2 linked regions of the Struthio camelus genome follow. The protein of the gene in region 1 purifies or fractionates together with the protein of each later gene. This does not show direct contact. Links are inferred from orthologs where the notes say so. Each region holds a gene or a part of one and is shown on either strand. Other genes may lie near its edges.

Region 1 (3,741 bases):
GGCCAACGCAGACTGGGATTAGGGCTCCTGCCCCATTTGCTGCTGTAGAAAGAGTTCCTAAATCACTAATCAGTTCCTCTGCTAAAAACATACTGAAAAATACCTCAAGGAAAGGCAGACAGTCAACCCCCCGCACCCCCCAAAAAAGGGAGAAAAGCAACAGTTCAGGGCTGAACGCTGCTTGTCAGGGCCGGCAACTACACCGACTGCCGCACCGCCCCCCCCCGGGACCAACGGCCTTCCGCGCGGCCCTTCCACCGCGGCGGGGGGCGCCACGCGCAGCCGCCTTCGCTTCCCGAGGCGCCGCCCACTTACCGGCGGCGGCGGCGGCAGCAGCAGCGGGGTTGATGAGGCCGGCGGCGGCGCTGGCGGGGAGGGGCGGCGGCGGCGGCGCTGCTCCCAGGCCGGCGGGCGGCGCGCCCGAGCGGGGGAACTGCTGCGAGCTCATGGCACCTGCGGGCATCGCCGACCGTTACATGGCGCTACCGGCGCGGCGCGGCCCCGCCCCGCCCCCCCGCGCCCGCCCCCGCCCCCCCGCATTGGGCGCCGCGCGAGCGGCCCCGCCAGCCCCGCGCCAATGCGGCGCGCCCCGGCCCCACCAGCCAATCGGGCGCGGGCCTGCGCCAGCGCTGGCGGCCAGTGAGGAGCCGTCCCGCTGATGACCTCACGCGGCGGCGAGCCAATGGCAGGGAGGGCGGCGCTGGCCCATCGGGGCGGGTCCTGGCCGCCCCGGGCCCGTCTCCGCCGTGCGGGGCGCGCAGGGCCCGGATGTTCCCCCCCCAGACGGCGCCGCGCCCGCGGGGCCGCCCGCGCCCCTGCCCGCGCCCGCGGCCCCTCCACAGCGAGAGGGAGAGCGAGCGCGGCCGCGGCGCCCCCCCTTCCTCCGCCGCTCGCCCCGCCGCCGCCCCCAGCCCCGCCCCGGAGCCCCCTCGCGCCCCGGCCGCCCCGCCGAAGGCGCTACCTGCCCCGCGGGCGGCGGCGGCGGCGGGACCCTCGGCGGCAGCCGTAGCTGCGTCTTCCCGTGACACCGACGCTGCAAGCTGAGCCGAGCTCCGCTTCCGCCGCTGCGCCTGCCCCCGCCCATTGGCTCCGGCCGGCCCCACCCCCCAGCGCTGCCCCCGCCCCATTGGCTGCGGCAGCCCGCGCCGCCCAGGGGCTCCTGGGAAACGTAGTGCGTGCGCCAGCAGGCCAGGCGGCGGCGGCCCCAGCCCCGGCCCCGGCCCCGGCCCCGGGCGGGCACACGGCGCCCCGGTTCCGCCGGTGCGGCCTGGCGACGGGGTTGGCTTCTCCCTTTTCCTTCCCGAACCCCAACGCGCACAGAAGCCTCTGGGCGCTCAGCCAGGGCGGCTTCGCTGCGCGCGCGGCCACACCGACCGCCCGGCGCTCTCCTGCCTCCAGGCTCAAAGATGCAGCCAGCCAATCAGCTGTAGTTTTCGGAGCTGTGTTCATGGTTTAAAATTAAACCAGAAAGAAAACGTTTTAAATACAGTATTACATTTGAGCAATCCCTAATTTTGCTTTGCAAGGCCTTTGTGCTTGCGTTGTGAACAAACCTGAAAAGGGGCGCTGAGAAAGCTGAGGGCGTGGACGGTGGTTAGGGTCAGCTTGGAAGGGCATCGCTGTGCAGGACCAACACGAGCCAGGACTACCGACTAGTCCTGCGGCTTTGACCTCGGTCTTGGGACGCTGCCCGCAGCCTTGTCAAAGTTAACTTGCCTGGCAGTTAATACAGCCCGGCCGGACTTTCAGCTTCGGAGATGTGCCGTTCTGCCCTCTCCCCACTCTGCTCCCTGGGGCTCAAAACGATCTTAGTAACGCTGTGAAAGGTTCAGAGAAAAGTGGCTAACACAACCCGCCATGGAGCGTGTGAGGAACACCCGAGCAGAGCCAGAACCCTCAGCCTGGAAAAGAGACTGTTAAAGGGCACTTCTGACAGTAAGATCACGAATGGCATAAAGAAGGTGATTAGGGAACAATTGTTTTGTGTCTGTCCCATGCTGCTTTAATTCCCCTCTCATACTTGCATTGCTAACAGTAAACAAACTAAAGAAGTGGTTCTCCACACAAAGCCCGAGTGAGCCATGGAAGTCCTTTCAACGGGGGAGACGGCTCACTCGACAAACTCATGAAAGACGCGACGCAGATGCCACCTCTGCCTCTGGAATTACCAACTCTGCAAACCCAGGCTGAGCAAGTACTCTGGAAAAGCGCTGCCGTGCGTTTGCCCTGCCTTTCACTCTTTCCTAGCCCTATGGCCCTTGGCTGCGTTAGGGACATGATCTCGGACTAAACGGGTCAGCGTAAGACGTGAGACCCCGCACGCGAACGGGATGCGCACAACAGCGCAGCAATATACACGGCGGCACGGGATAAAGGAGACTCGTGCCGGTCACAAGGCTGCTGAAGGCGCGAGGGATTTCGGAGCGGGGGGTGTGCACAGCCAGCTTGTCTCCCTCCCTCGCTCGCCACGCAGCGCTGCTCTCCCTGCGCCGCTCTTACTTGCTGCTCCGCAGGTCCCGCACGTTACATCCGGTGCGGGGGCTCTGGAGAGGGCCGAAAACAAGGCCGGCCTCGTCCCGCTGACCGGCCCGCTCGGCAGACGCTGGCCCTTGCTCCTCTAGGGCTCTGCCTGCCGGCGCCTCGGACTGACCGCTGCCTTCTCAGAGCCGCCCGCCGCGGCTGCTGCAGCTCTGTGCCGGGCCGCGGTCGGCGGTGCCAGGGAACTCGGGCTCCGCTGCCCCGCGGGGCTGGGCCGGGCGGGCAGGCCCCGGCAATGGCGGGCCGCGTCACGGAAAGGGGAAACCGCCCCGGGGGGGGGGCCTGGCCGCGGGGGCTCCGGCAGGCAAACGCCCTCGCGGCCGCGGCAGAGCCCCGCGGCAGGCAGGCCGGCGGCCGGCAGGCCGAGGAGCCGCGGGGGGCTCGCCGCCACCCCTCCCAACATGGCGCCAGGCGACAATCTGGCGCCGCTCCCGCTGTAACTCTATGGCCACGGGGAGGGCCGCCTCGCCCGGCAGCGGAAGCGCAGCGCCCGGAAGCCGGGGCAGCGGCGAGAGGCGGAAGGGAGCGTGGCGGCCGCTCGCAGGTGCGGTTACCACGGCGACCCGCGCCCGCCGGGCCGGTGATGTGGCGCGAGGAGGGGCCGGGAGCCGTTGGGCGCGCGGGGCGGGGGAGAGGGCAGGAGCCGCTGGGCGCGAGGCCGGGGCGGGAGCCGTTGAGCGCGCGGGGGGACGGGGCAAGAACCGTTGGGCGGGGGGGGGGGAGGAGGAGGCGGCAGGAACCGTTGGGCGCGCGGGAGGGGGGGAGGCGGCAGGAACCGTTGGGCGCGCGGGGGGGGGGGGAGGCGGCAGGAACCGTTGGGCGCGCGGGGGGGGGGGGAGGCGGCAGGAACCGTTGGGCGCGCGGGGGGGGGGGGAGGCGGCAGGAACCGTTGGGCGCGCGGGGGGGGGGGGGGAGGCGGCAGGAACCGTTGGGCGCGCGGGGGGGGGGGGAGGCGGCAGGAACCGTTGGGCGCGCGGGGGGGGGGGGGGGGAGGCGGCAGGAACCGTTGGGCGCGCGGGGGGGGGGGGGGGAGGCGGGGCGGGCGGAGCCGCGCAGCAGGTGCCGGGCGCCGGGACAGCCCTGCCCGGACGGCTGCGGCGTTCGTCGCCGGCGAAGGGGCGCAGCTCCCTGGGCCCGAGGGATGGTCTGTCAGTCAGTCGCCGTGTTGGCGGGGGCTGGAGGGAAACAGCTTTTTTTCCCTTT
Region 2 (3,741 bases), on another chromosome or scaffold:
TCAGTGAGGAGAGCATGACCGAGATATGTGGTCAGTGAAGGGCCCTACTTACAGCTTTCAAAACCCTAATCCTTCTACGACCTCTGCAGCTGTTCCCAAATCAATCCTCAGCTTTGAAAAGTGCTGAAAATTCTTTAGAAAAAAGCTACCTCCTACAGAGCTTACCTTCCTGCAATTGCTGTAATTGCCTCTTAAGAGATGCCAGTTTGTCCTGATACATCCTGCAGGGAGAGCACACAAAATTACATAAAAATGAAAAACAAAACAAAGAGTCTATTTCACCATCTGTTTAGGTTATTGCATATATACTGAATTAAAAATTTTCCAGAACTCCAGAAAGCAAAAAACAATATATGAAAAAGTATCATTCAATTTAAAAATCCTACAGCCCCATTAACATTGCAGCACACCCAAATCAATTATTTTGAGAACAGTCATGGTAGAATTATCTTTTGTATGCAGAAATCTAACATGACACCACTTTGTCAGATCTTAATATTTGTGCGTTAGTTCCCTACTTATAACATAGGGGACATTTCCTCAGGTTACAGAGGACTTGAAGTTATAAGCAAGCCTCCCCCAGCACCCACATCAATAAAGCTAAAAGCAAGCCCAAAAGCACCAGGAATAGATTTTGTATTTCCCTTCTCACCTATCTGCAGTTTACCACAGGCTGCGTCTTCGTGACCTGTATACAACCATCTCTCTGCCAGTAAGCAAGACCACAAAGTGCTGCAAATAGACTTAAACTTCAAGAGAAGCTATTTCGAGTGCCCAAAACTCCCATCTTCCTGGACATTGCTGGCATTCTATTCTTAAGGGATTTTAACAGGTAACTTGCTTTTGACTTGGCTTGAATCAAGTAGGTCCATTGTTTTATTTAAAAGAATTTTCTGCCGAGGAATTAATTTGCAGCAAAATTGAGTTGCTCCCTCAACCTGCACCTATTTTGTTGTTCAGAACGGTAGCAGCACTTAGTGCCTTGAACACACATGGAACAGAGAGAGAGTAACTGAGGAAAGAAGAGATAGGTGTATATGGACTCATCAACTATTACACTGGGCAAAGAACTTACAAAAGTCCCTAACTTCAGCCTAAAACTTTGCAAAGTTTTATGCAAAGAAAACTAAGTATTGACTTACTTTTATTAGATTAGGTTACTTACTGTTCTTTCATTTCCACAAAGTCCTCTTCCTCATGTTTTGCCAGGTCAGTTTCACTAGCATCCTCAGTATCTAAAAAAGGTAAAGAATGAGTTGTTGAAACTAAAGTAATATTAAAAAGCAAAAAAAAGTCAAGTCATTTTAAAAAGAACAGGCAATTTAACTTCTCCATTTTACAATTCGACAGGCCTCTGGAAAGACTCATTCAGCAGTGAACTGAACCACCCCATCTGCTTCCTGCAACTGCAATTTGTCCCACATAGATTCACTCGTAGGCTTGCAATGAAGCTTACATCGAGTTTGAACGACTTCAGCTTAAGATACCCTGACAGCTTCTTCCCAATTTAAGACAACAGATTCTACATTAGTGCCCACAAATACAGAGGTGAGATGGTAACACGACCCAAAGACTCTGAAATGCATTTCACAAGAAAAACGCTACTACTAGATGCCATTACGGCTTACAAAGATAATACGTGAAGTTATTTGCTAAGATCTGAACTTGACATCTCTGCTACATATTTCACAGAAGTATTTCACCATTTACACATAGCAAAGACTATCACAATTACATAAACACAGCCCCAGTTTTGCCAACAGATAATTATAAGTAAAATAAACTAACAGGGCACTGTTAGCTTTCTGTTGTTGCCTTTTAAGGTTCCTATTTCTGAGACCAGGTAGCCAAAAATTAATTACCCTTCCTCTTCCAGGGAAAGCCAGTTTCTCCAAGGTAGAGTTGAGATTGACTTAAGGCTACAACTGTAAAGCCTAAACTACAGCTATATTCTCTATAAAGGGGGGAACGGAGGTAATCAGTCCTTTAAATCCAGCCTTTCTCAGATTTTTCTTAAACCATGAACAAATACCTTATGCTTATTTACGTTAAGGTAAAAAACAACACACCAAAGAGAAAGTAAAGTGTTTTAACTCCAAGAAGAACAGTTAAATAGCTAAGTTACCCTAAAGAAAGGGCTCCCATGTTTAATCCGGTCGCGCTGCGAGCAGCGCCCCTGAGCAGTGAGCCGTCACCTTTGTGAGGAGCTGCACGTCGCGCTGCGGCCCCGGTTCCTCCCCGGCAGCGGTGCGGCTGCCAGGGCGACGGGCCCCGCCGAAACCCACCCGCTCCGCGCTCCCCCCGCCCGGGGCTCTCCGCCGGCCCCGCTCTCCCGCCGCCTCCCCAGGCCAAGGGCCCGCAGCGCCCCCCCCCCCCCGCTACCGACCCTCGTCGGAGTCGCGGGCCCGGGCGCTCCGCTCGCCGTCCTCCTCCTCGGCGCTCTCCAGCTCCTCCTCCTCGTAGTACTCGGGGCCGGGGGGCATGGCGCCGGCGGGCGCCCCGGGCGGGGCAGGGGCCGGCGGCGTGGCAGACACCAGCCCGGCCGCGCTCATAGCGACGGGACGCAGCCGCCGCTGCCGCCGCCTCCGCCGGGCGCTCGGCAACGGCGCCAGGCCCCGCACTTCCGCTTCCGGGCTGTCCGCGCCGCTGCCCGAGCGCGGGCCGGCCGCCCGGCGGACGCCGCGGGCACCTAAGGGCGGGGTCCTCGCGGCGGGGCGGGGCGGGAGCGGTTCTCTCGAGGCCGCGGGTTCGAGCCGCGGGTTCGAGCCCCGGCCCCGCCGGGTCCGGGCGCGTCAGCGGGGCGGATCTCCAGCCGTCCTGCTAGCGCTGCCACCGCGGCGGGAGAGCAGCCGGCGCGCCCAGCTCTCTGGCCAGCTCCCGCCTATTGCGGACGTGAACGAGAGCCGGGCTCTTTCTCCAGGGCAGCCTTGCTTCGTGGCGGCCCAGAGCCGCGCAGCTCCAGCGGGCGTTACTGCCCAGCAGCGAGCTGCCCGCAGGCCCCTCAGCAGACACCTCTGCGCCCAGGGCTCTGGGAGCAAAATCTGCGTTTCCCTCTGCCAACGGGAACAGCTCCGCTCTGTGCTTGTGCTAAGGCATAAAAACACACCTTGCGCATACTTATGTGCTGCCTTTGCCAACCAGCAGCGCTTCCCCTTCAAGGGATTTATGGGGGAAAGGGGATTTTGGCAACCAGAGATCAATGTTCTCATTTTTGCCACAATGACCCCATCTATCCCAGTGAAATGCCTCCATCACAAGCCACAGGAGTTGCAATAATGCTTTTGCTCACCAGGTAATCTGGAGTAGGATGTTATAGCGATGGGAAAGGACTTCTGAAGACGCTTCTATACCCTTTCTACTTTTTTTTCCCCAATAAACGATTTCCTTGTTCCTCAACAAACTGCCACCACGGTGCTGTGATCTCACACGCACAAGGTAAAGCAGCTACTTCACATCAATAAATAGCAGCTTTCATAAAACAAAAGGGTCCAGAACCATTATGGACACTTCACAGCTGTCGGATATAGATTATTCTCCTGCCTGTGCACTGCTACAAAGTTAAGGACGAAGATACAGAGGCCACAGTGAGACACGTACGGGCACCATACTAAACACATGATCCCAGGCAGCATGAAAAAGTCTCAAATTGATATTCCCGGCTGTCTCATTTAGCCCTTTTCTGCAAGCGTAAGTCACCGGGGACGAACTGACCAATTAGCTTCACTGCCTCTAGCAGAGCTG

Evidence for each region. Proteins that work in one complex are often made in the same cells at the same time.
Region 2: the proteins of SAP130 (region 1) and SUDS3 purify together in Homo sapiens (affinity purification with western blotting; 3 studies listed by BioGRID, with this or other methods). This does not show direct contact. The link is inferred for Struthio camelus from reciprocal best matches to the Homo sapiens genes SAP130 and SUDS3.

The regions. Positions count from the first base shown.
Region 1 is NC_090950.1:6,535,594-6,539,334, forward strand, and holds the start of SAP130 (histone deacetylase complex subunit SAP130), read right to left. Parts: upstream 2,811-3,741; 5' UTR 2,500-2,810; intron 1,818-2,499; 5' UTR 1,618-1,817; coding exon 1,554-1,617; intron 1,096-1,553; exon of another isoform or gene 962-1,095; intron 454-961; coding exon 316-453; intron 1-315. UniProt on the Homo sapiens protein: Acts as a transcriptional repressor. May function in the assembly and/or enzymatic activity of the mSin3A corepressor complex or in mediating interactions between the complex and other regulatory complexes.
Region 2 is NC_090958.1:7,274,582-7,278,322, reverse strand, and holds the start of SUDS3 (sin3 histone deacetylase corepressor complex component SDS3), read right to left. Parts: upstream 2,625-3,741; 5' UTR 2,553-2,624; coding exon 2,387-2,552; intron 1,236-2,386; coding exon 1,166-1,235; intron 222-1,165; coding exon 166-221; intron 1-165.